Linked DNA regions of Callithrix jacchus. Each later gene encodes a partner of the first gene's protein in a complex. Links are inferred from orthologs where the notes say so. Each region holds a gene or a part of one and is shown in the gene's direction. Other genes may lie near its edges.

Region 1 (3,500 bases):
TTGTTTATTTGTTTGTTTGAGACAGTTTCCCTCTGTTGCTCAGGCTGAAGTACAGTGGTGTGATCTCAGCTCACTGCAACCTCCGCCTCCCATGTTCAAGTGATTCTCCTGCCTCAGCCTCCTAAGTAGCTGGGATTACAGATGTGCACCACTGTACCTGGCTAATTTTTGTTGTTTTTGGTAGAGATAAGGTTTTGCCATGTTGGACAGGCTGGTCTCAAACTCCTGGCCTACGACGATCTGCCCACCTCAGCCTCTCAGAGTGTTGGGGTGACAGACATGAACCGGCAAGCTTGGGCCTTTTTTTTTTTTTTTTTTAAGTATCTATAGCATATACATGGTCATATAGAGAAATAGGAGAGGCCAGATATAACTAAGATCTGGGAATGAGGTACAGTCTAAGGCAACAAATCTTTTCTTGCTCACCTCACCTTCCAGGTGTGAGATGTGGATAAAAGGCTCCCACATCCCCAATATCTCAAACTTAAAGGATCAGACGTCCAACAGTCTCCTTTTCAAGTTTCCTCTGACTTGATTCATCTGTTTCTAAATGGTCATTGATTTTTATTTCTCTAAGCTCAGCTAACCTGTGTGAGTGAAGAACCTGACATACAATATTTGCTCAATATTTATCAAAGAAAAGGACATGAATTTTTTTTTACGAAGTTCAGAGCCAGTTTATGCAAAGGCAATTTTTATACAACTATTTGTCAGTGTTGATTTAAATGGCAGAGTTGCAGCTTAAAGAAGTATATTAATCCTTTGGCCATAATGTGTGTTTTCTCACTTCAGGCAACAGAAGCAGCAGTATACTAACCAGCTTGCCAAAGAAACAGACAAGTACATTAAAGAGTTTGGATCTCTGCCCACCACCCCCAGTGAACAGGTATGAAGCTTTAAGACCCATTGTTGATGTATTGAATGTGAAAAAAATCAAATGCATTGTAGGATCTTTGAACTCTTATGCTAAAAAGGAAATCAAAAATAATTCTGCTTGACATTAGTTCACAGAACACAAAACTATATTTAATTGCTCAGGTAGTATCCTGTGGTTCAATAAAGCAAAAATTATTTCCATGCATTTGCCCTGACCCGTAATTAAGTAAGTTCTCAGAAAATGCTTCCTGAGTAATTATTTCCTGGCCTCCCAGGTCTGACTTCATGCAACGTGCAGACTCATTCAGCATGTGAGGTGTCCTGGGGGAACATATTTATTTCCCTGCTTATGCAATGGAAGTTATTACTTAGCTAAAAGCATAAGGCTTTATTTGTCTAAAAAGGAATTGCTTAAAATAGGCTCAAAATCATGAGCTAGTGTTTAGCAGCGTGAAAACTTGAGGTGACAAATCCAGCACAATGGGTCTTTTGCCTCAAGTTAAATATGTACAGTGTTTGACATACTGTCAGAATGTTATTGAGAGTTAATCCGTAAGGCCTGGTAATTGGGGAGTAAGTGAAAACTTCAGGATTAGATAAAGAGCCAGCTAATGATAAAACAGCTACCAAATTCTGTTGAACTTCACAGCTTGATTCTACTTGGCCTTGTTTTTTCTCTTACCCCTAGCGTCAAAGGAAAATACAGAAAGATCGCTTAGTGGCAGAGTTCACAACATCACTGACAAACTTCCAGAAGGTCCAGAGGCAGGCTGCTGAGCGAGAGAAAGAGTTTGTTGCTCGAGTAAGAGCCAGTTCCAGAGTGTCTGTAAGTATTTAGAGAGACATTCTAGAAATAAACATGATTACTTTTTTTTTTTTTTTTGAGACGGAGTTTCGCTCTTGTTACCCAGGCTGGAGTGCAATGGCGCGGTCTCGGCTCACCACAACCTCCGCCTCCTGGGTTCAGGCAATTCTCCTGCCTCAGCCTCCTGAGTAGCTGGGATTACAGGCACGCACCACCATGCCCAGCTAATTTTTTGTATTTTTAGTAGAGACGGGGTTTCACCATGTTGACCAGGATGGTCTCGATCTATTGACCTCGTGATCCACCTGCCTCAGCCTCCCAAACATGATTACTTTCTAAGGGGCCCATGAAAGTCAGTAGTAGCATACGATCTGTGAATATCTTGGAAATCAGCACTTGAATATTTATTTTTATGCTTTTCTTCTCCATTTTTAGAGAAGGATGATAATTATGTATTACTATGGTTATTTTTTCTGTGTCATTTTATAGAATATTATAGATTATGTAAAAATTTAGAGACATAATTTGTCAGAAAAGATTAGGGATCAAGTCCTCATTAGTATTCTCATATTGTCTTGGCACTGAGGCTTTCTGCTTGTGTACACACTAATATAGAAAGCACTTTCCTCCTGGATTACACCAAGATGACAAAGATGAATGGTGCAAGTATGTTGTATGAATATTGAAAATGAACATGAGCCTGGAGAAAATAAATGAAACTTTTCAGTAGAATTTTGAATTAATCTAATTTTAAATTCCCTTATAAAGTATCATGAGTTGTTTTCTTATTCCTTAACATACGGATTCCAAGACTGCATTAAGCTTTAACCAAGTAATACTTGAGAATATTTAGTATTCTAACACTTTAGAATATTTAGTCAATTCCTTTCTTGTCTACTTAGAATATAAAATTACTTATAATTATATTATTACTTGAAACAGTTGACCTGAAAAATTAAAACAAGAATGTCTTTCTCTCTCTGTACACAAACACACACACACACATACACACACGCGCGTGCACGTATATGTAAATCAGTTTAGATTATCATAAGGGAAAATATGAGTGTTGTTTATTTTTTCTTATTTTTCCTCTCTTTGCCCCTTCTCATTCCATCCTGTTACTAAATTATTCAGGGCGGTTTTCCTGAGGACAGCTCAAAAGAAAGGAATCTTGTATCCTGGGAAAGGTAAGAAATAGAAAATATTTTACAGATCAAAAGGTAATTTTTCAAAGTTTATACATTAAGGTCCCTAGAACAGAATTAAAACTTTCAGTATATTATATCATAAATACCTTAAGTTTTTTATACATTGAAAACAGAGAGTAAGTTTGAAAAACAAATTCACTAATTATAAAGTATTTATTATATATAAAATTTTCCAAATAAATATTTATGGACTTAATAGACACATTCCCTTATATGAGGTTTAAGTCAGGTGAGAAGAAATACCCAGTTGCCCAATATAACTTCCAATGATTAAGTAATAACACTAAACTCATATTAGATAAAATGATATAAGTGAAATGAAAAATGAGTAAAATTTGATTATTATAGTCTTAGAATTTTTTAAGTGAGAAGTTCTGTGACTTGGAAAAATAAAATCTCCTATTTAATGAATATATCTTAAATAGGAAATGAGTCTCATTGTTTTGAATACCAACCAATCTTTGTTTTTTTCCACATTCATTTTTTTCTGTTAGCCAAACTCAACCTCAAGTGCAGGTGCAGGATGAAGAAATTACAGAGGATGACCTCCGCCTTATTCATGAAAGAGAGTCTTCTATCAGGCAACTTGAAGTAAGCCTTACATTATA
Region 2 (4,084 bases), on another chromosome or scaffold:
GTATTACTCAATCCTCCAACCTGTGAAGGTGCTATTGATTACCACCAGTTAGCCTCTGAGGACACAGGCACAGGCATGCAAAGTATGCTGTGGACAGGATTTGAGCTCTGGCAGATATGATTCCTGTGATACACTGCCTCTCCATTAGGTGCAGTGGGGTGATGAGTACCTTACGAGAGGGTGTGTAGAGGTCTGCAGGAACACACAAGCACAGAGCCCCGCTTACAAGTGGGGGCCATGTTGATTTTTTGGGGAAAAGATGGCTTTCAGTAGAGACTGTGACACTTTCAGGATGGGTAATCTTGGGGCAGGGTTGGTTGTTTTCTTTTGTTTTAATCTACTTTCAGCCCATCTCCTGATCTATAATACTAGTAGTACAATTTCAAGGATGGCTGTGAGGATTAAGAGATGAACATGCAGGTCCTAGGGCATTCAGCTCTTCACAAGCTATGCTTGCTGAAGTGACATGAACAAAAGCAGATGGAGGGGGGTCGAGTGGGGAAAAGCATTCTAGGAAAAGGGAACACCACATTCTAAGACTACATATCCAGAAAGCTTGAGGGATCCAAGAAGGGTGCCTGCAGGATGGGGTGGCTGGTGGCCGGGGTGGCTGATGGCCTTGAGAACCAGCTAAGAAAGTTGCATTATTTACCAACAAAAATAAAAGAGTCACGATTTGTTGAGGGTATACAAAAGAGAATCATCAGGAACCACAGAAAGGCTGCATACAGGGAGGTGACTTGATCAATTTCACGTTTTCCAAAGATCCCTAGAATCGTGTTGGAGTGCTAGGAGGAACTCTACCGACCTGCTTTGAACTCCATACTTTAAAAAGCATATAACGTTTATAATTTTCTCTTTTACTCCACAATTTATACTCACTGTAGAAAATATTAAAAATATAAGAAAATTTAAAGAAACAAAAAATTGTTACTTGTACTTTCCAGAGACATCCCAATTGATACTTTTCTTCCCATCTTTGTTTTTTCTATGCAAAAAATACGTAGTTATTAGAATGCCTGACAGAAGGAAGTTGGAAAGAGATCACTGTGAAGCGTTCTTGATATTCCCTCTTATCCTCCTCTCCATGTTAATAGGGTCTTACTAAGAGGAGAGGCTGATTTCCCTCCACGTGTCAGGTAAAGTTCCAACTGTTAAGCAGGGACCCTCGCTTGCCATTTTCGCCGGTCTCTAGGGGGGCGCTGCCCGCAGACTGGGTGGGGAGGGAAAAAGGCGGTGCGAAAACGCGTTTGAACTTGGACCCTGCCGCTGCCCGTAGCCGGCGTCCGTCCCCAACATGGCGGCTCTCCAAGATGTCCACGTCCGGATCTGTAACCAAGAGATAGTCAAATTTGACCTGGAGGTGAAGGCCCTTATTCAGGTATTGATCCCGGGACCCCTGCCGGGCTCCAGCAGCCCTGACCCAAGCTCTGCTGGTCTGTGAGCGCGGCAGTGTAACTGCGGAACTTTCCCCAATTGGTTTCTCAGGCCACTGGCTCCGCCCCATGGCCGGCTACCCCCTGTTCCCCATTTGGTCTTGTCCCCGTGACTGCTGGCCTTGATCCTCCTTACGAGTGCTGCTGGATCGCCCATTTCCAGAGCGCCCCACTGTTCGCCGCCTCTGACCCATGCTTCGCGGCTCGGCTTTACCCCTCCACCTGCTGCCCTAGTCGTCGCCTCGCCCGTGACCACCTCACAACATACCTGCCACCCTGCTTGGCCCCGCCTTCTGACATTTGCTTCCCCATCACCTAGTAGCGTCCGGGAGGCCGCTAGCCCCGCCCCCTGCCACCTGGCACGGGAGGCACCAAAGTAACCTGGGCCGTAGTTGTGATTTTATGCTTGAGGAAATCGAATATAGCGCCAAGGCCCAGGTTAGAAGGCAGATCTGGGTCAATGGCAAAACTGGGACCTGGACTGGGAAAGTCAGTCTAGGAAAAACACCTAGAGTGTTAATCTGTTTGTATGGATAGGAAATGAGATGCTTTGCCTTAAGCCATTTAAGGGTAGAGGTAAGATAAACGAGTTGATGTAGGCAAGAATTAGGAACGTAGACACGGTTCCATGAGTTTAGCAAAAAGAAACCAAGAGTTTTAAACTTTGGTTTAAAGCAAATAATTTTCAACGAAGTCACTAAACATTAGATGTAGACTCAGAATGAGTTTGTAACAAGGTGTGGCAAAAGTGCAGGAAAGTAGGGCTCCCCAGATAAACCAGATGCAGAATAAACCAAATTCGTAGTTTATCATACGGTGCAAAGAAGTGTGATTAAATGAGTAAGCCAGAGAAAAATTGAAATTTGATGGAGATACTTAAAACTTATTGAACTTCACTTCTCTGACATGTACATTACAGAACTTCTGGGTCAGTTATAGAAAAATAAACAAGTTTCATACAAATGAAATTGCATTTTCTCTTAATCTAAATTGCTTAAGCACCCTTCTGTACCCTTTCTAACATTTGGGTTCTTGTGATTCCTGATAAGAAAGATTCATTATAGCTGGATGTATTATTGCACTCTTACTGTGTTCCATTGCTCTGCTAAGTGCTTTACATGCATGTATGATCTATGATCTGTGAGATAAGTAGTGTTGCAATGAGGGGGAGAATTTAAACTGAGACAGAATTTAAATAACTTTTCCAAGTAACTTTACACAACTAATAAGTTGCTTCAGCCAGGATTAGAATCCACATGGTCTGTCTCCAGAACCTGCTCTGAAACCTGGCACCAGCTGTTGCTGAATCTGTTGCTGAATGTCCAGGAACAGATTCTAAATCTGCCCTTAAACATGTCTGTATAAACACTCTGACTTATCACTGATGGTTTGTCAAATCACAATGAAGAAGTTAATCTCATCATATGATGCCAGATATTTAAGCATCCTGATCTTCAAGTTGGAAGGATCTCAGATTCTGAAGTTAATAGTATTGCTTTTGCATGTCCATTCTTGTTGGGCATACAAGCTGTTTTAAGCTTTTTCATACTGGCCACATAAGATTTTATTAAAATTTAGGAACTAAAAATTAGGTCAAAGCAATTGTGTTTCTTTCTAGGCTTTTATAGTAATTTTAACATTAAAGAGGAATGAGAAAAATGTAAATGATAATATTTTTGCCCATGTTGCAGAGGTAAACAGCAAAGATCAGGACGAATTACAGTCAGTACGTTAATATCAGTTGGTCTAAACCAACTCTAACTTTATGGATGGTGTCATTTCATTTCACTGCCTTGAGAAAGGCCTCTTATCTGTTCAATGTCTCCTAGGATATCCGTGATTGTTCAGGACCCTTAAGTACTCTTACTGAACTGAACACTAAAGTAAAAGAGAAATTTCAACAGTTGCGTCACAGAATACAGGTGGGTATTCTAAGAACTGAGATGCTGAGTATCTCAGTTCAGCCAATGAAGGGGCTCAGTCCTGGGTATATCCTCTGCTTGAAGCTGTCTGGGTTCTTCAAACACCAGCTAATGGGAGTAGTAAACACTTCGACAGTAAGAGGGACTCTGTACTAACCTGCTTTCCAGGTAAAAATGAGAAACTTTTGCATGCAGAACACTGCCAGCTGTGTCAATGAGTGGCAGTTTTTTTTAGGTGAAGTCTCGCTCTGTTGCCCAGGCTGGAGTGCAGTGGCATGATCTCAGCTCAGCACAACCTCCACCTCCCATGTTCAAGCGATTCTCCTGCCACAGCCTCCCAAGTAGCTTGGACCACAGGTGTGTGCCACCATGCCTGGCTAATTTTTGTAATTTTGTAGAAATGGGTTTTCAGGTTTTCACTATGTTGGCCCGGCTGGTCTCGAACTCCTCATCTCGTGATCTGCCCGCCTCAGCCTGGGTTTACAGGCATGAGCTACTGCACCTGGCTAATCTTGTTTTTTTTAAAATAGAGATGGAGTCTCATTATGTTGCTTGGGCTTCTTAAACTCCTGGGCTCAAGCAATCCTGCTTTGGCTTTTGAAAGGGCTGGAATTCCAGGCATGAGCCCAGCCTATTCTGTTTCTTTCAGACAGAATTTGGATCCAGGTTCTAATTGTTTCCAAGTTCAGGATCTAGATCAGAATCAGAAGGTAAAGACTACTGTTT
Region 3 (4,052 bases), on another chromosome or scaffold:
CCTACCCGTCCCTGCCACGCGTGCCCCCCCCCCCGGCCTCCGGATACAGCCCCTGCCTCGCTCTCCCACCCGTCCCTGCCACGCGTGCCCGACCCCGGCCTCCGGATACAGCCCCTGCCTCGCTCTCCTACCCGTCCCTGCCACGCGTGCCCGACTCCGGCCTCCGGCGGCGGCTCACCTCCTGGTTGTACGACCGCAGAGCTTCCATAATCACATCCTCCTTCCCCGTCTCCACGGCTGCTGCAACCGCCCGGGGCTCCATGGCGCCCCCGGGACCCGCCCCAGCCGTTCCGGGCCGCAATTCGCCGGCCCCGCCCTGGCCCAGAGAGCTCCGCGCCAGCGCGCATGGGAGGCCGGGACGGGGTGCGGCGTCGGGCGGCGCCTTCAGGGGGCGCGGCCTGGAGCCGAAGCGGCGGTTCGAAGGTTTCCAGACCCGAGTCGCCCTCGACCGAACTGACCCCTCTCCTTGTGACCCGCGCTTCTTGGGCAGGAATTTCCAACGGGAAAGGATCTCAGCCCCCACCTCGCCCTGCCACACACACAGCGCCGCCCCTGGATCTCCACAGAACGGATGGGGTGTGGAGGGGGAGCCGAAGTGGGGGACTTTTCAGTCCTGGGCCATCGGGTTCGTTAGGCGTTTGCTGGGGAACGCAGGCGAACGGGACTCCTAGGTCCATGCTTTCGCGGAGCTTTTGTTCCCGAGGGGAAGGCACACAAGCAAACACCAAAGGACACGAGGCTGTGCTTCAAAACGGGCAGCGAGGAAACGCTGCTTTTGCTGACACCGGACGACAGGAAGTGGCCGGGAACAGGGCTCCTGCTCGGGGGGGCCTGCTCCCTCCTCATGACGCGCCTGTGAATCCTTCCCCGCCGTTAGGACCTAACCCACGGAAGCGTCTATCCCACACCGTAGTCCTGGCACCGAGCCAACAGCCCCGCCCCGCCCTACGCTCACAGGAACAACAAACGTCACATCCGCGGTGGCGCACACCAGTAATCCCAGCACCTTGGGAGGCCGAGGCGGGAGGGCTGCTTGGCCCGGCAGGCGGAGGGTGCAGTGAGCCGAGATCGCGTCACTGCACGCCAGCCTGGGACGGTGCGGAAAATGAAAGGCACATCCGTGCCGCGCTCCTGCGACCGGCGGTTCCCAACTCGTAGCCCTCAGCCGGAAGTCAGCGAGTTCAAGGCGGAAGGGGCAGGGGCATATAGGGGCGTGGTCGCTGCGGAGGCGGGGCCGGAAGTCCTGCCCCTTGACTGCGCCACGTCCGAGGCGGCGGTTGCCGCGTCGGTGTCGGCGTTGAAGAGCCGGGGAAGGCACCATGGCGGACTGGGCTAGGGGTGAGCGCCAGAGAGCGGAGTCGTTGGGGGCGGGGCCGGGCCCGGCCGGAGCCGACGCTGTTACCTGCAGAGCCGCGTACGCCTGCCTCTAAACTGTCCTCGGCGGAGAGGACCCTGTCACGGGGGCAGATTCGGATCCTTCCGGGTCCGAGGGGGCGGCCTAGCCGCTCCAGCGAGGGGTCGCGCAGCTGCGGGGTCCCCCAACTCTCCGCCATTCCCTGTGAGATCGTTCTGCGTGGGTTCGGGGTGCGGGAGCCTCCGCATTCGGCAGGTCCCGGGGCCAGGCCCTAGGAGTACAGGCCACGCGTGCACCGTTGGTGTCCAAGCAGGCGTCTGCTAACTTGGGCCTCGATGGCCCCAGTCCCCCTCCCGGAGCCCGTGTTCTTGTCTGCAAAGTGGGATATTGATGTTTGCCTGTCTGTGTTGCACCCGTTGCTTACATTGAAGCTAGGCAGCAGGTGGTTCTCACCTACCTGATGTGACAGAAATTCCTTATCACCTGGCCCAGCCTATCACATCACAGGCCAGGCCGCTGCAAGCACTATGCTCTGGGTGTTGCGGGAAGCCCTCTGTGGGATGCAGACCAAGGATCCCTCTCTTGGTCGACCTCAGCTCCCATGGTGGGGAATTGGGAGCTTGGCTCAGACCTTTTTTTGTGCGGTAAAGCGCCTTCTCAACATTCTGTCCTGGTTCCTTGCCACCTCTTCAGGAGCCAGCTCTGAAGTCGCCCCTGTAGGAGCCTTCCTACTGCTCTGCTGGGTACTTTCCCCAAGCCTTTCCTACACTTTTACACAGATGGGACCTCCATGGATGCAAGTGTCACATCTTACCAGCATCCCAGGGCTGGGTGCAGTTTCTGCTACACAGTGTGGGAAACTGCTGGTTGCACCGAGCCTGTTGTGGGTGCTTGCCCATCCCCACCTGGATGTGTACACAGGGCGTGTGTTCACATGACATGCGCTTACTTACACACATCGTTCTTTATGCAGCCTGCCTCACATGTGCAAGATCCACCTGCTGGAACCTGGTTAGGGCCTTGTGTCTGCCACCTGCCCAGCAGACACAGGGCCCAGTCCCCCTGGATTTCCAACTCACCCAGATGTGGTTGGAGCGACGGGTCAGGGGCCGTGCTCACCGGTGGATGCAACCCCTCAGCCTCTCTCTCTTCTCAGGTCAGAGTCCTGGTGCTGTGGAAGAGATACTAGACCGGGAGAACAAGCGAATGACCGACAGCCTGGCCTCCAAAGTCACCAGGCTCAAATCGGTCAGTGGTGGTCTCCTGTCCTCTTACCTCTACCATGTGCCCTTGGGGGGTGGGGGTCAGAGGAAAGGCAGACGGCCCAGAGGAGTTTCAGGCAGTTTTCTATCCTCATGTGCTTTGTGGCTGTGCTCACCTGCATGAGGCCCCACCTGGACCTCTCTGCTGCTGCAGCACTCTGGCAGAGTTGTTGGCAGGGCTTGTCTGGTCTGGGGAGGGTGAGTGCTGCATTATGTGTCTGCTCTGGCCCAACCCTGCCCTCTCTGTGCTGAACAGCTTGCCCTGGACATCGACAGGGACGCAGAGGATCAGAACCGGTACCTGGATGGCATGGTAAGGGCCTGCCCCAACACTACCTGCTGTAGAGCCTGCAGTGTCTCCTTCAGCACTGGTGCGGGTGGGTGGTGAAATCACCACTTCTGTGTGATCTTGCTGGGATTCCCCCTTTAGGACTCGGATTTCACAAGCATGACCGGCCTGCTTACAGGGAGTGTGAAGCGCTTTTCCGCAATGGCAAGGTCTGGACGGGACAACCGGAAGCTTCTGTGTGGCATGGCCATGGGTCTGATTGTGGTCTTCTTCATCCTCTCCTACTTCTTGTCGAGGGCAAGGACGTGAACCAGTGGGAGCTGGTGTCTCTGGGTGCCTGGCGTCTTGGGCTCCAGAGAACTTACCTACAAAATACTCCTTTGAAATTACAATTGTGGGTTTGGAATCTTCTTCCTGTGGGGCAGGAGGCTGTGGCAGCCTGTGACCTGATGAGCTCATGTTGGCTGTGGAAGGGACTCTCTTTTGGGGAAACCAAGGGCCAGCCCCTCCCTCCTCCCCCAGGTGCTAGAGACACCAGCAGAGTTGGGGCCACAGCATGTCTGGAGGAGCCAGGTCCAAGCGCAGCAGCTGTTGAATCCCAGACGTAGCCACTTGAGGCCTGCAGCCTTTCTCCCAGCTCTTGGGACGCTGACATCTTAAGGCCCTATGGCTGTGTCCTTGTCTGGGTGAGGCCATGTCTGTGATCCAAGGTGCCTGGAGCTGACACAGGAAGGGACTGTGAACCCTGAGTGAGTGCCATCTCCTCCGACTGAGGCCTCTCAGCCTGGAGATGACGGTTCCTTCTGGCCACGGTTGCTAGGCATGGGCAGACCAGCGTGGGCTACTCTGCTGTGAGTTTTCTCTGCCTGCTCTCCAGTCCTGCGGATGAAGTGAGACCCTTGGGGAGAACTGGGGTGTGGATGGAGTGAACTGCAGCCTTGGCCTAGTGGCTGCGCCTGGATCCTTCTGGGTCATGTGACTGTATCCAGGAGCAGAAACTTGCGTTCTCAGGAGTCAGGATCAGCCCAGCACCAAAGACGTGTTTTCGGGAGAGCAGACCTAGAAGTGGGCCTGTTTGGCATTTCAGAGTCAGGCAAACCTGTGGATCTACACAGGAAGGTTCCTGTGAGGACTCCAGTTGCCGCCT
Region 4 (3,325 bases), on another chromosome or scaffold:
GCAGTTGAAAGTTCCATGGAGGTTAATTCCTTTCACAATTCAATGTAACTGTCTCTTAAGAGGGTAAAGAAAAAAGATAACGAGATCCCAAAAGCAGTAACACACTAACCTACAAATACAAATGCAGCCAGACGTGGTGGCTCACGCCTGTAATCCCAGCACTTTGGGAGGCCAAGGCAGGCAGATCACGAGGTTAGGAGTTCTAGACCAGCCTAGCCAATGTAATGAAAACCCTGTCTCTACTAAAAAAATAAAAATACAAAAATGAGCCAGGCATGGTGGCAGGCACCTGTAATCCTAGATACTTGGGAGGCTGAGGCAGGAGAATCGCTTGAACTTGGGAGGCAGAAGTTGCAGTGAGCCGAGATTGCACTATTACACCCCAGCCCAGGTGACAGTGCAACACTCTTTCTCAAAACAAAAACAAAAAGCAAATGCCACCTCAAGAAGCTGTCCTGAAATCTGGCTGATGAAATTCAGATCTTAAGTTCCTCTGCAGTCACTGGTTGTCCAATCTGCTGGCTGTACTTGAAGGCTTCCCTTTTGGAGTAGCCATAGTGAAAGATTAGCTCAGTCTCAGGAGTCCATCCCTGGCAGCAACCTAGGAATATAATGATTCGTAAGCCTACTTAATGAATACTAAAATATCTTGTCCTTTCCAGGTTCTACTTATACGCAAAGGCCATCATTTAAATTGGCTTGATTTCTTGGAATTTTTCAACAGCCCTTAATGCCCACTGTTAATCTAGGGATATTAAAATTGTACAGAATGTACTTTTGAAAGGAAATAATCACTCTTTTCTCTTCTCAGCTGGTAAACACAAGTGAAAACTTGAGCAAAAGTCGAAAGATTCTCCGTTCAATGTCCAGAAAGTAAGTTTTTAAAAGTCATGAAATTTGTCTTAATGTCTTTCAACCAAAAAGCTTAAAATAGTGACTTACAAAAGTCCTAATAAAGCACCTCAGCAGTTGATGCCAGATAGTCCCCGTATACTCAGTGCTACCCAGCAGATCAGAAGAAATACACTAAGGAATATGGTCTTGGATAAGTAGCTCAGGATAAAATCATTTGTTAAAAGAATATACTGCTTTGACTTAGAGCAGTGAAAAATTTCTCCACTGAAAGGACATTTAATCACAGCTGATGTTCGTTAGAGAACGCAGCACGTGGGAATAACAGAGCTTCCTATTCCTTGAAATATATTTGTAAAATCTCTATTAGAAAGCAGTTTTCACTTGCATAGTACTTGTGTTTTGGCTCTGTTTGCCCTTCATGGGAGTCAGCACCTTTTCTGGAAGTTCTGTCTTGTTAGCAAGAAGTAGATTTTTAAAAATAAAACCCTTAGGGAGTTGTCAGGGTTGGTGGGCATTAACTGAGGCAAGATGCTGTAGAATCTGCTGGCACTGCCAGATTGCCCAGAGGACCTGGAGCATTGCTTCACACAGGCATTTTGAAAATGAAGCTCCAGGAAACACAAGCTGTTTCAGGAGGAGAACGGAATTCTTGGCATCTAAAGGGTGGTGGAGCTGATGACCTCCTATATAGAGCCACCATGGTTCTCAATTGGTGAAGCAGCATATGCCATGCATCATCAGTTGGCTATGGTTTCATTTCCCAAGAAACAGGATTGACCAGTCATCACAGTGACTTAATTCAGTTTCATTCAGCTCTCTATGGACTCTTAGTCTGATAAATAGCCCTTTTTGAAGATCTCTAAGCCCTTCTTTGAAGATCAATATTTGAATTGTACTAACTGCCACCAGTAAAGTAGTCTTTACCAAAAGTAAAAAACAAAACCCTTGTGCTAATAGCAACAAATCCAGGGCAGAAATATTGCCACTGAGGTTGAAATTGGGTTTAAGAGAGGATTGTGTGTGACCTTGTGTACAGGTGGCCTAGCATAAAACAAAACTACAACTCAGTCATGTAACTAGCAGGAGGGGTGAGATTTTTCTACAGTGGTAAATTCTTTGTGGAAGAGGAAGAAGCCTAGAGTGAACATGAGAACCAGAGGTTGGATTTTTAAGCTCCTGTACTACCTTTATAACATATCCATTTGGGTTGATAGGAGAGCAAAGGGAAAAATAGGGCAGAGGAATAGAAGTTTACAAGGGATTGAAAGGTATTACCCAGGCTTCTAAGTTACTTTATCCTAGGGCAGGACCCATTCTGAACAGGATGTATATTTGATTACTTTTTCTCGATAACCCCTCTTTCTAGAAAAGCTATTTTTAAAGGAAATAACTACTGTTTGAAGACATTTCAGAGTCAAGAAATCATTTTTGTGCTTTGGTTTTTATTGTCTCAGTTTAACATTACTGTGAGGTAGACAGTATTATTCCTAAGTGACAGCTAAAGAACCTTATATGTACTTCCTGCTAAGTGGCTGTGTGATCAGACAAACAGCCTCAGAGTATCCAGCCTTGGTCCCAGGTCAAACCCCAAAGTAGGTTATCCAAAATTCTGACTACTCCCCACTTTGTTTCTTTGTAGAGTGACAACCAACAAGCTGCTGCTTTCCATCATCATCTTACTGGAGCTCGCCATCCTGGGAGGCCTGGTTTACTACAAATTCTTTCGCAGCCATTGAACTTCCTATAGAAAAGGGTTTGTGGACCAGACTTTGACCTTGTGAATGCATGATGTTAGGGATGTGGATAGAATAAGCATATTGCTGCTGTGGGCTAACAGTTCAGGGGTGCACTGTGTAGCCAGACTGTGGGAGAAGGGAAGGAAAGATGGAAAGCCACTTAAATGTGAAGGAACAGCAACAAGACCAATATGATATACCAAGGTAATAAATGCTGTTTATGACTTCTTTAAATTTACATAGTACTGTAGCATATTAATACCCTGTGAACTGCAAAAAAAACCAAATACATTTATAGTAGTATTGGTCACCAAAATAGAAGGGAAACTTTACATTTGTGAGAATATGCAGATATTCTCATTAAGGCAGTATTGACCAGACAGCCATTTAGTATCTGTCCCCTCAAATGCCTCATAATTCTGGAATGCCCATTGTGAAATATGTCAGTGCACAGTATCTCCTAAATTCTCACACGTGCTTGATTTTCCGATTCATCTGGTGAACTGGGAGTAGGAAGTTGGTCATAGACAATGTGCCCTCCTTCCCTTGTCTGACCAAAACTTGAAGCAATCACATCCACTGCCAGGTTAGCTGTAGTCTTTGCCTCTTCCTCTGAGGTGGCCAACTGAGGATTGACTTCTACAAGATCCAGTGCCGACAACAACCCTGGAAGAACAAAGTGTAACAAAACCTCAGATTCCTTTGCTGCTACTCAGTGAGGGTCATCCCACTGG
Region 5 (4,087 bases), on another chromosome or scaffold:
CCAGGAAGAGTGTGAAGAATAAGAAGAGAAGATGGCGTAGGATAGAACCCTATGGAATGTGAACATTTCAAAAGAAAATGAAGAGCTGCCACAGAGGTAAGAGGAGAAGCGGGAGTGTATAGCATCTTGCATAGAGCTAAGAGAATAAAGGAGTTCAAAAAGGAGGAAATAAGGGCCAGGCGCAGTGGTTCATGCGTGTTATCCCAGCACTTTGGGAGGCTGAGGTGGACTGATCATGAGGTCAGAAGTTGGAGACCAGGAGACCAGGAGACCAGCCTGGCCAATATGGTGAAACCCCGTCTGTACTAAAAATATAAAGAATTAGCTGGGCGTGGTGACAGGCGCCTGTATTCCCAGCTACTCGGGAGGCTGACGCAGGAGAATTGCCTGAACCCAGAAGGGTTGCGGTGAGCCGAGATCGCGCCATTGCACTCCAGCCTGGGTAACAAGAGCGAAACTCCGTCTCAAAAATAAAAGAAGAGCTTGACTCTGATTCGGCAACAGGGAATAGGGATGGAAGAGGGATGGGTTTAGATCAAAGGAGAGTAGTAGTTATCATTATTATTGCTAAAGAATGGGAGAAAGGATTGGTGAGGGGTACAAGAAAATAAGAACATTTCATGGCAAAAATAGAGGCACTTCCTGTCAGCTGAATTCTATTTTGTCGGTGAAGAAACAGGCAATGTTGCCTACTGAAACTAAGCAGGAGAGACGGGGCAAGCGTGGCTCTTCATTTATGCCGCCTACTCACTGCTGGTAGAATCTTTTCTTTCTTTCTTTCTTTCTTTTTTAAGACGGAGTTTCTCTCTTGTTACCCAGGCTAGAGTGCAATGGCGCGATCTCGGATCACCGCAACCACCGCCTCTTGGGTTCAGGCAATTCTCCTGCCTCAGCCTTCTGAGTAGCTGGGATTACCGGCACGAGCCACCGTGCCCAGCTAATTTTTTGTATTTTTAGTACAGACGGGGTTTCACCATGTTGACCAGGATGGTCTCGATCTCTTGACCTCGTGATCCACCCGCCTCGGCCTCCCAAAGTGCTGGGATTACAGGTAGAATCTTTAGCCTGCATTCTCTCATTTGCGTGGATCCCTATACGGCGTTTGACGTTGTTTACGGCCAGAGCTGTCCCCGGAACGTGGCCAGTCGGAACTACTACTCCCGGAATGCACTACGGCTCCTGGGAAGTGCGGGGGGGGCGGGGCTGGGAACTTAGCAGGCCTAGCCCTGTTGCCTGCTGCCATTGGAGGAGCGCTCCCATTCCCAAGAGGCCACGCGTAGGCGGGGCGCTTCACGCGGAAGTTAGCGGCGTCGGGTCCCAGCCTCCTCTGGGAGCGGGCAGTTGGCGACCCTGCGCTGACCCGCGCCCCTAGGTCCCGAGCCCGCGCGCCCTCAGAAGGTGCCCGGACAGGTAAATGGAGTGGGGCGCGCTCTGTGGGAGGCGGAAACACAACTGCGGAGGGAGAGGGAAGGTGTCGACGGAAAGGTGCTGGGGTGGAGCGGGTAGGCAGTGTAAGGGTGACTTGGGCTTCTCTGGTGTACACAGTACCGGTTGTCGGGCAGGTCCGGTTTCGGCGAGGTGCGTCTTTTGCCGCTGGAAAGGCCTCGAGTTAAAAAGAGTGTCAGAATGCGTCACTTAAGCTGTCATTACAGGAGGGAAAAAATGTTAATTTTCTCTCAGTTTGCATTCTACAAGACTTTTCTGTACCATTTAAATCGCTTGAGATCGACCGAGTCTTCTAAAAACTCTCTGCGTCCTTATTCGATGACGTCACTTTCCGCTTCACCTACTTCTGGCTGTTTATGCTCCTTCGTGGGTTCCTGGCCCCTTATTCACCCTTCCTCCACTGCTCATTATTGACAGTCCACTTCTTCCTCTGTTTGGCTAGGAACTGTATCTCCGCCTAGACCTGTTTCCTCATCTTCAGACCTGTTTGGTGTTTTTATTAACCGCCAATGTTTATCAAATTCTGACCACGTGCTAGCGTCTTTGGTAAACGCTTTACATCTCCCACTCCCATAACTCTCACAATCAGCTGTCTTCATTCGGCCTCATTTATTGCTTTCAACTACCTGTATCTCCATTCTCCCTCCCTTGATCCCAGAGATACAGCCATGTTAGGGATATTAATTACCTTTGAATACTTGTGGCTGAGAGCAGATCCATTCGTATGTTTAACAAATATTTATTGAGTGGCTGATCTGTGCTTGACACTCTTTTTTTTTTTTTTTTGAGACGGAGTTTCGCTCTTGTTACCCAGGCTGGAGTGCAATGGCGTGATCTCGGCTCACCGCAACCTCCACCTCCTGGGTTCAGGAAATTCTCCTGCCTCAGCCTCCTGAGTAGCTGGGATTACAGGCACACGCCACCATGCCCAGCTAATTTTTTGTATTTTTAGTAGAGACGGGGTTTCACCATGTTGACCAGGATGGTCTCGATCTCTTGACCTCGTGATCCACCCGCCTCGGCCTCCCAAAGTGCTGGGATTTTACAGGCATGAGCCACCACGCCTGGCCGACTCTCTTTTTAAGTGCAGGGGATACAGCTGTAAACAAGACTTAGGTTGCTACACTCAGGAACTTACATGTTTGTGTCTAGAGGGGAAAACAGAAATAGGATTATGTTATATATTGCCTAATGTGAAATAAAACAGGTGGTTGACTTGAAAGGGTGGGATCCTATCCTAAGAAAGTCAGAGAGATTGGATTGGGTCTCAGAGCATCATCCAGAAAGAATAGTTGTAATACTAACAGGAATAATCTTGATCTATAACCTGACTTCATAAACACCTCTCCTTTTCCCCTTTCTAAGCAGTGTTTATTCTTCATTTTTTCTATCTCCTCCAAGCTTATTGCATCCGAATTCTTGGTTTATCTGTAGTTACTTTATTCTTTCTAACTCCCAGATGGAAGAGTTGGGGATTGGATTACTGTTAGCTCAACTGCTTTATCTTACTTCAAAAGGTGATTTGGTTGTGAAAATATTATTCTTACTAGGTCTTTCTGAATATAAAGTTATCTATCATTTATAGTGTATTTAAAACCAAAGTATGCTCAATGTTCACTTACTTATTCAACAAATACTTGAGGGCATGCGCGGTGGCTCAACCCTGTAATCCCAGCACTTTGGGAGGCCGAGGCGGGTGGATCACAAGGTCAAGAGATCGAGACCATCCTGGTCAACATGGTGAAACCCCGTCTCTACTAAAAATACAAAAAATTAGCTGGGTGTAATCCCAGCTACTCGGGAGGCTGAGGCAGGAGAATTGCCTGAACCCAGGAAGCGGAGGTTGCGGTGAGCCGAGATCGCACCATTGCACTCCAGCCTGGATAAGAGCAAAACTCCGTCTCAGAAAAGAAAAAAAATACTTGAGGGAAGGTTAACTGCTAGGCACCGTGCTGAGCACTGGGAAAGTAGGGTAAAATAGACACTTTGGCCTCTCTTCCACGGAGAAATAATCCTAACAGTATAGTGAGGAAATTCCTAAGGCATAAGCTGATACCTACATTCCTGTTATTCACCCAAGGTGAGATCATCACAAAGCATTAAGAAATTTCCTGAGTGGTTGTGGACAGTCTTAGATTATTCACTTATTACACTTTATCACATTTATTTATATCTGTCTTCCTCATTGTACCATGGCTCCCTCAAGTATAGGAGTCCCTTCTTCATCAACTTTATACCTCCAGTGTCTACTTTGACTAGCATATAGCAAGCCCTCAGTACATATGTGTTGAACTGAAATAGAAAAACTCCATATCTGATCAAATTTAAATGACATGATTTATACAAGACCTTCTCTATGTAAGGCCATCAGCTGTATTCCTCAATCTTGTCATTCACCAAAGGTGGACCATTCCATCTCATCAGGCTAGTTTATGTACCTTCTTTACCTTGTTCTCACCTCTATGCCTTCTCTTGTTTCATCCGTTCCTCCTAAAATGATCTCCCATCTCTTCCCGAGCACCTTGTCTACCGCCTTACTTTAGTGGGCCAGTTAATTTAATGGTCTGCTCATGATACAAGAATGGAGGCCGGGCACGGTGGCTCACGCCTGTAATCCCAGCACTTTGGGAGGCCGAGGTGG
Region 6 (4,088 bases), on another chromosome or scaffold:
GCTGTTCTGCATTCATTCCGTTGCAATATCACACACAGTCTCTAACAAACTCAAGTGTATACAACTCATGAGGAAGTGAGAGTGAAAAGGCAAGTAACGTCTTAGTATTATGAAAAGAGTTTTATATTGGTGACCATTTAAACCACTGCATTAACACATATTCTACTTGTGCATTCTCTTTATGAAAAAAAATCTTGAGATTTTGTTTTAACACTGAACCATAGGCCAGGCAAGGTGGCACATGCCCAAAGTCCCCGTCACTCAGGAGGCGGAGCGGGGGAGGATCATTTGAGCCCTGGGGTTCCAGTGAGTAGTGAGCTAGGATGGCGTCTTTGAACAGCCACTGTAATCTCACTGGGCAACATAGTGAGACCCCCATCTTAAACACACACACACACACCCCAGAACCATGAACCAAAAAATGCAGAAGAAACTCATTGACTGACTTGTCATTGTTTATGACTCAAGATTTGAAAACTATGCATGAAGGATGAACAGAATCCAGCGGCATTAGGGTCACCCTTTCACCTCTGTCTCCATCTAAAGTTCCTATTCATCCTTCAAATCTCTGCACAGGTGACGCCTTCTCTCTAGAGCCTCTTTCTCACCACAAATAAGATTATAATAATATTTATTAATTATAATATTTATTAATAACATTTATTAATATGTTTTTATTATTATAATAACAACATATTAACGATAACTACCATTTATTGGCCACTTACTGGGAGCCAAGAAACACCAAAACAGCACGCGTCGGGTCATTTAATTTTCACAGTAAACTCCGAGGAGGATGCTGGCTTCCCTTTACAGAAGAGGTGGCGGAAGGCTGGAGAACAAAGGCCTCTGGCTCTGTGCCCTGCACACCTGCTCTGTCCCAGCACTTATTGCACCCCGAGGGTCACCGTCCACGTGCCTCTGACATGCTCAGGGTGAGTCCTTGCAGTCAAAGGTCAAGGGGGTCTCGCCTTCGCGTCCCCCGCAACCAAATCGTCCGGGCTCAGTGAGGGAGCCACCAGAAGGGAAGGAACTTCCCAGCTTTCCGGTCTTTATGCTCCCGGAGCCCACAAGCCCCAGACAGACATAGGAGAGCTCTCCGTGCTGCTAAACCCTCCAAGCTTTGCCTGGAGAAGGGACTACCCGTGAGCACGTTGCCGGGTCCCTCCTCCTCTAGGCGCGCCAGCTTAGGCCGGAACCTTTTTCCTCCCGCCGCGGTAGCCGGGCGCAGGCCGGAACCTTTCTTCTCGCGCCACCGTTGCCGGGGGGAGGCGTGCGGGGTAGGACCAGTCCTCTAGCTGGCGGATTAGCGCCGCGGTCGCTGGCTGCTGACGTGGGCGGGTCCCGTTTGGGGCTGCGGGTGCGGGTCGCTATGGCGGTGGATATCACGCTGCTATTCCGGGCCAGCGTCAAGACCGTGAAGACGCGGAACAAGGCGCTGGGAGTGGCGGTGGGCGGCGGGGTCGATGGCAGCCGGGATGAGCTGTTCCGCCGGAGCCCCAGGCCCAAGGGCGACTTCTCCAGCCGGGCCCGCGAAGTGGTAAGCTGGTTGCTATGGAAACGGCGGCTTGAGGAGGGGACAGACCTGCGACAGGGACCCCAGGCCCCAAACCAGACCTCGTCCCTTAAGCATTGTGTAAAGAGTGTGGCCCCAAGGAGGACAGTACAGTTGGCCTCAGCCGACAGCTTCTGGGGGAAGGAGCAGCCTTATTTTGAGGAAGGGGGACGCATTATTGGGGAACGGATTTCTCCTTCGGCGGCGGGGTTTAGGGGGCGAAGAAGAAGACGCTCAGAAATCTCTATCTGGAAAGTGCATGGGCGGCTTTGTGAGGTCATGAGATCGCTGTCATTACAGACTTGCACTCGGGAAGTTTCCTCACAGTCCTTCGCTTCCTGTCGAAGCACTGACCACACTGTATTTGCCTGTTCTGTTTGCTTGCCTGCCTCCCACCCCCAGTTGAGATTAAAACCGTATTAAACCGAACTCTTTCTTTACTTTGTCTTCGCAATAAGTAGGACTCAGTTCCGCTTGAGACAGGTTTAGGATAATCTTTCACAGTGTTAAGTCATCTCAACTACTTTCTGTTTCCTGGACAGAGCAGGTGTTCCTTCATCTCCCTGGGACTAGGAACCTTTTCGTTAAGGGAAGGGACAGTGTTGTTTTCATCTCAGAATGCATGACTTATACAGCATTGCTTAGTAAATGTCTGTTGAATGAATGAATGAATAAATGGCTGTCTTTACCACGAGGCAGAAAACTGCACAACGGGAGAGATGTTTGTCTTGTTCCCTATTGTATATGTGACACCAAGTGGGGATCTAGTTTTTGTGGGGCCTAAAGCTTATATAATTCTGTCTCCTCTTTTTAAGAAGAAAACCGCCAAGAAAGGTTGAGAGCTTTGGAAGTTTGAAGTGAGGGACCCTGAAGCTTAAGCTTCATTAATTTCACGCTAAATCTACCTCTGCTTGGCATGCACTTGGCACTGTATAGACATTCAGATATTTTTGAATGAATGTATGCATGCGTGCATTAATGACAGTTAGCTGAAGATACTTAAACCTCAGAAAGGGGATTGGACCAGATGAATACACTTACCCCATTGATGAACATCTATGAAGCACTTACCTTTTGACCAGCCTCATGTTAGAGTAACATGATGTAAAAGGAGTGGTTGAGGATACGGACATAGAAATAAAACAAGTACTGTAAAGCCCTGTAAGTGTTGTGTAGGGCACAAAGAAGAATGTGGTCAGTTCTACCTGAGGATCAGAAAAGGCTTTATAGAGGTGATGATGCTTCAAACAAGTCTTGAAAGAGGATTAGTTGGTTTCAGTACAGACAAGGTGGGGAAGGGCATCTCAGGCTAAGAGCATAGTGTGCGCTAAGGTCTGGAGGTAGGTAATTGTCTGACATAAGTTGGTTCATAAACATTTGAGTGGGACTGGAATGTGGGACTTCTCATAAAAATTGGAATAGAGTGGCAGCAGGGGGAGATCTTGAAGGGCTTTGTATATCACTGCAGAGTTTGAATTTGGCCTTGTAGGTGGGCAGATGTTATATGATAGAGAAAGCACCAAAGATGGAGCGAGCCAAGAGACCAGGTTGTTGTCTGACGGTGCAACTATTAGCTACATGATTTCATTAAGCAAGTTTTAAGACCTTATTTTATTTACCTGTGAATGATCCTTTTTTTTCCTCCTCCTCCTTTTAAAAAACTACCTTGATCCTCTCTATATAACACATCAAAGTGAGAGCTACCTAGGTTGAAATGAGAGGAAGAGAAACAGGACATTCTCCCTCCCTATACTCCCAGTTTGTCCCAAGCACTTCCTGGGGTTCCTTTTGTAGAACTGTGGTATAATATTGTCTTTTGAAGGGCCCCTTCTAACTCTGAAACCACTGATTTATTAGCACTGTGCTAATTTTGAGTCCTGCTCAAGGAAAGGGGGGATTTGGGAATTGGAGAGGCAAGAGGCAACAGTTGGGTTGGCAAGCCCTTTGGAGAGTCCTGTAACCACTTCCACCTCTCCCTGAGTGGTGAAAATGTGTTTTAGGCATTTGAGTTTATGGGCCTCAGAGATAGTAACAGCAACAGTCCCTTAAGGTGCTGAGTTCCCTGTCTTTGGAAGTCATTAAACAGAGTGATGACTGCTTTTTAGAGATGTTTGAGAAGAACTTTGTCCATGTGTCACAGGGTTGGACCACATGGCAGTGAAACTTCCAATTCTGCTATGTATTGATGTGGGTACGTGTCACATCACCTCAAGTGAGTATATGGGCTGTGTTGTTCAGGGACACAGTCCCCCTGACCTAGAGGAAACATATATTCTTTTAAGCAGTTTTGATTTTCTGTTGTCATTGCTTTGTGTGTTATCTTCTATACTTGCAACTGTTTCCCACTCCGCATCTTTTCTTGTGGAAAGTTTAACTAGAAGAACTAGTGATGGATGTCCTGTGCTTTCACTACAGTTAGATGTGTCAAAAGTTTGGTGTTATTTTGTTTGGCCTGGATTCCTTATACAGAAAAGTCTGGTGCACATATCCTGATTCAGATTTAGCCCTGATTGTCAGACCTAAGGAAATGTAG
Region 7 (3,500 bases), on another chromosome or scaffold:
GCTAGGCTGAACCAGATGGTTGAGATTCATGATCCTGCATTCTCACTGTTGGAGTGAATGTAGGTATATCCAGAAGAATGATAATTTCTGATTGTTTGGTACACTTATCTTTATTCACATTCTCATTTAATTTTCACAACCACCCTTTGAGAAAGCAACTATTATTATCCCCCATTTTACAGGTGAGAAAACTGAGGCTCAGAGAGTTAAAATGACCTGTCCAGGGTCACAAGGCTAGTAAGTGCCAGAGCTGGGATTCAAACCCAGAGCATGTGGGCTTTGATCCTCCTTTTAACTTAAGATGTGCCACATCCTGTTTTCTCCCCCAGGGGGTGGTGCTGTTGTTTTGGGGGCAGAGTCTCGTGCCTCCAAGGATGTCGCCATCGACATGATGGACTCTCGGACCAGCCAGCAGCTGCAGCTCATTGACGAGCAGGTACCCAGCCTCTGAACTTGGGAGAATCAGCTTCTCCATTATCCTCTGTGACTCCCAAGGCAGTGTTTGGAGTGTGCCGTGGGCAGAATGGCAAGCTGGGCGGTTTGTAAAGATGCAGGTCTGACCCTGAAGAAGCTCATGGTGCTCATGTGCTCTCTCCTGAAGGATTCCTACATCCAGAGCCGGGCAGACACCATGCAGAACATTGAATCGACAATTGTTGAGCTGGGCTCCATCTTTCAGCAGTTGGCACACATGGTTAAGGAACAGGAGGAAACCATTCAGAGGTGAGACACACTCTCTCACCCCAGACACAGGAGCCTTCTCTTCCCCATGGATTGGCATCTTAAAGTTCCCAGGGATTGCTTGATGCCTCTTGGAAGATAGAGTGAATCCTGCTTACCCAGGGGACCCAGTTCACCTGCTTTCATCTACCCAACAAGTATTTATTGAGCACCTGTTCATGTGAGGCACTGTTCCAGGTGCTGGAGATATAGTGGCAAATAGGACAGTAAAGTCTCTGTGGAGCTACTTTGTAACATGTGTATGGAATTTGATAGAGCAGATGAGGACAGCTGTGGAAAAGAATTGACTAGGCCGGGCATGGTGGCTCACACCTGTAATCCCAAAAGCAGCACTTCGGGAGGCTGAGCCAGGCAGATGGCTTGAGTTCAGGAATTCGAGACCAGCTTGGGCAACAAAGTGAGACCCCATCTCTACAAAAAATTACAAAAATTAGCCAAGCATGGTGGCATGGGCATGTAGTCGCAGCTACTCGAGAGGCTCAGGTGGGAGGGTGGCTTGAGCCTGGGAGGCGGAGGTTGCAGTGAGCCAAGACCGTGCTACTGCACTCCAGCCTTGGTGACAGAGCCAGATTCTCTCTCAAAAAATAAAAATTAAAAATTGACCAACAAAATTTCAGGTAGTAATAAGGGCTGTATACAGAGCATTAAAGTAGGGATGATGTGTTAAGAAAGTGATGGATGGGTATGGTGGCTTACACCTCTAATTCCAGCACTTTGGGAGGCCCAGACAGTTGCTTGAACTCAAGAGTTCAAGACCAGCCTGGGCAACATGGCAAAACCCCATCTCTACAAAATAAAAAAAATTAGCTGGATGTGGTTGTGCATGCCTGTGGTCCCAGCTACTTGGGAGGCTGAGGCCTCCCTCATTTGATCACAGGAGGCCGAGGCTGCAGTGAGCCATAATCGAACCACTGCACTCCAGCCTAAGTGACAGAGCGAGACTCCATCTCAAAAAAAAAAAAAAGAAAGTGATCGAGGAGGTATATCAGATTCTGTGGCGGGGAATGCTCCTCTGAAGACATGACATTTAAGTGGACTTGAATCGCAAGAGGGTAGGCTAGCCATGCAAAGAAAAGAGAGCGTTCTAGGCCAAGGGGACAGCGAGAGAAAAGGCCTTATGATGAGACAGTCTCGCTGTACGCAAGAATCAACAAGGCCAGTGTTGCTAGAAAGTAATGAACAGGGATAGAGAAGTACAGGGTGTACTGCAGGGATGTAGGCAGAGGCCCAACAATGGGCTGGCCTCTGTTCCTCTTGTGCCTCCTGCTGTGACAAGAGGTTTTATCTGCTCCTCCTCTGTGGTGCTTAGCATTCAGTTGGTCATGAGTATATAGCAGTAGACAAAAGACAAAAAAATCCTTGCCCTTGTGGAACTTACAGCCTAGTAGGGAGATAGATGTGAAAAAGTAATAATAAATAGTATAGTATGTTAAAAAAAAAGTCAACACAATCAAGAGTGCCAGGTTTGGAGGGAGGTAGACCCTATTAAGAAGGTGGCATCGGGCCAGGTGTGGTGGCTCAAGCCTGTAATCCCAGCACTTTGGGAGGCCAGGGCGGGTGGATCACAAGGTCAAGAGATCGAGACCATCCTGGTCAACATGGTGAAACCCCATCTCTACTAAAAATACAAAAAATTAGCTGGGCACGGTGGTGTGTTCCTGTAATCCCAGCTACTCAGGAAGCTGAGACAGGAGAATTGCCTGAACCCAGGAGGCGGAGATTGCGGTGAGCCGAGATCGCGCCATTGCACTCCAGCCTGGGTAACAAGAGCGAAACTCCGTCTCAAAAAAAATAAATAAATAAAAAGAAGATGGCCTGTAATCCACTTTGGGAGGCCGAGGCAGGCAGATCACGAGGTCAAGAGATTGAGACCATCCTGGCCAACATAGTGAAACCTCATCTCTACTAAAATACAAAAATTAGCTGAGTGTGGTGATGCATGCCTGTAGTCCCAGCTACTCAGGAGGCTGAGGCAGGAGAATTGCTTGAACTTGGGAGGCAGAGGTTACAAAGAGCCGAGATCACACCGCTGCACTGCAGCCTGGTGACAGAGTGAGAGCGTGCCTCAAAAAAAAAAAGGTGGCATCAGACTTGGGAGAAGGTGAGGAAATTAACTACATAGACCCTGGCAAAGGGAAGAACCAGCATAAAGGCCTACAGGTCTGATGAGTTAAAGGACCGCAGAGACCACTGCAGATGGGATAAATGAGGAAGAGAATTGTACAAGGTGTGGTCAGAGGGAAACTGTGGGACCTCTTAGGACATTTGTTAGGCTTTAGCTGTCACTCTGAGTGCCATCGGGAGTCGTTGCAGGGGTTTGCTTTTGTTTCTGTTTTCGCTTGAGACAGAGCCTTGCCCTGTTGCCCAGGCTGGAGTGCAGTGGCATGATCTTGGCTCACTGCAACCTCCCCCTCCTAGGTTCAAGTGATTCTCATGCCTCAGCCTCCTGAGCAGCTAGGACCACGGGTGTGTACCACCATGCATGGCTAATTTTTGTATTTTTAGTAGAGAAGGAGCTTTGCCATGTTGGCCAGGCTGGTCTTGAACTCCTGGCCGAAAGGGACCTGTCCTCCTTGGCCTCCCAAAGTGCTGGGGTTACAGATGTGAGCCATCACAACCGGCCAAATACATTTAACTTTGTTTGTTTGTTTGTTTTGAGATGGAGTCTTGCTCTGTTGCCCAAGTTGTGGTGGGATCTAGGCTCACTGCAACCTCTGCCTCCCAGGTTCAAGTGGTTCTTCTGCCTCAGTTTCCTAAGT

What was found.
Region 2: STX7 (region 1) and BNIP1 share a complex: the UniProt entries of both Homo sapiens proteins name them as parts of the SNARE complex. The link is inferred for Callithrix jacchus from reciprocal best matches to the Homo sapiens genes STX7 and BNIP1.
Region 3: STX7 (region 1) and BET1L share a complex: the UniProt entries of both Homo sapiens proteins name them as parts of the SNARE complex. The link is inferred for Callithrix jacchus from reciprocal best matches to the Homo sapiens genes STX7 and BET1L.
Region 4: STX7 (region 1) and VTI1B share a complex: the UniProt entries of both Homo sapiens proteins name them as parts of the SNARE complex. The link is inferred for Callithrix jacchus from reciprocal best matches to the Homo sapiens genes STX7 and VTI1B.
Region 5: STX7 (region 1) and VAMP7 share a complex: the UniProt entries of both Homo sapiens proteins name them as parts of the SNARE complex. The link is inferred for Callithrix jacchus from reciprocal best matches to the Homo sapiens genes STX7 and VAMP7.
Region 6: STX7 (region 1) and STX18 share a complex: the UniProt entries of both Homo sapiens proteins name them as parts of the SNARE complex. The link is inferred for Callithrix jacchus from reciprocal best matches to the Homo sapiens genes STX7 and STX18.
Region 7: STX7 (region 1) and STX5 share a complex: the UniProt entries of both Homo sapiens proteins name them as parts of the SNARE complex. The link is inferred for Callithrix jacchus from reciprocal best matches to the Homo sapiens genes STX7 and STX5.

The regions. Positions count from the first base shown.
Region 1 is NC_133505.1:139,118,048-139,121,547, reverse strand, and holds part of STX7 (syntaxin-7), read left to right. Parts: intron 1-792; coding exon 793-886; intron 887-1,564; coding exon 1,565-1,702; intron 1,703-2,818; coding exon 2,819-2,871; intron 2,872-3,386; coding exon 3,387-3,483; intron 3,484-3,500. UniProt on the Homo sapiens protein: May be involved in protein trafficking from the plasma membrane to the early endosome (EE) as well as in homotypic fusion of endocytic organelles. Mediates the endocytic trafficking from early endosomes to late endosomes and lysosomes.
Region 2 is NC_133503.1:65,504,998-65,509,081, forward strand, and holds the start of BNIP1 (vesicle transport protein SEC20), read left to right. Parts: upstream 1-1,284; 5' UTR 1,285-1,297; coding exon 1,298-1,381; intron 1,382-3,265; coding exon 3,266-3,358; intron 3,359-4,084. UniProt on the Homo sapiens protein: As part of a SNARE complex may be involved in endoplasmic reticulum membranes fusion and be required for the maintenance of endoplasmic reticulum organization. Also plays a role in apoptosis.
Region 3 is NC_133511.1:131,726,067-131,730,118, forward strand, and holds the start of BET1L (BET1-like protein), read left to right. Parts: upstream 1-1,252; 5' UTR 1,253-1,319; coding exon 1,320-1,338; intron 1,339-2,510; coding exon 2,511-2,602; intron 2,603-2,872; coding exon 2,873-2,929; intron 2,930-3,046; coding exon 3,047-3,214; 3' UTR 3,215-4,052. Other genes in the region: RIC8A (chaperone Ric-8A), read right to left, coding at 179-262. UniProt on the Homo sapiens protein: Vesicle SNARE required for targeting and fusion of retrograde transport vesicles with the Golgi complex. Required for the integrity of the Golgi complex.
Region 4 is NC_133509.1:102,650,717-102,654,041, reverse strand, and holds the end of VTI1B (vesicle transport through interaction with t-SNAREs homolog 1B), read left to right. Parts: intron 1-811; coding exon 812-873; intron 874-2,280; exon of another isoform or gene 2,281-2,494; coding exon 2,495-2,591; 3' UTR 2,592-2,825; downstream 2,826-3,325. Other genes in the region: ARG2 (arginase-2, mitochondrial), read right to left, coding at 3,052-3,257. UniProt on the Homo sapiens protein: V-SNARE that mediates vesicle transport pathways through interactions with t-SNAREs on the target membrane. These interactions are proposed to mediate aspects of the specificity of vesicle trafficking and to promote fusion of the lipid bilayers.
Region 5 is NC_133524.1:151,451,215-151,455,301, forward strand, and holds the start of VAMP7 (vesicle-associated membrane protein 7), read left to right. Parts: upstream 1-1,287; 5' UTR 1,288-1,410; intron 1,411-4,087. UniProt on the Homo sapiens protein: Involved in the targeting and/or fusion of transport vesicles to their target membrane during transport of proteins from the early endosome to the lysosome. Required for heterotypic fusion of late endosomes with lysosomes and homotypic lysosomal fusion.
Region 6 is NC_133504.1:184,727,321-184,731,408, reverse strand, and holds the start of STX18 (syntaxin-18), read left to right. Parts: upstream 1-1,288; 5' UTR 1,289-1,372; coding exon 1,373-1,540; intron 1,541-4,088. UniProt on the Homo sapiens protein: Syntaxin that may be involved in targeting and fusion of Golgi-derived retrograde transport vesicles with the ER.
Region 7 is NC_133511.1:120,101,370-120,104,869, reverse strand, and holds part of STX5 (syntaxin-5), read left to right. Parts: intron 1-329; coding exon 330-436; intron 437-601; coding exon 602-723; intron 724-3,500. UniProt on the Homo sapiens protein: Mediates endoplasmic reticulum to Golgi transport.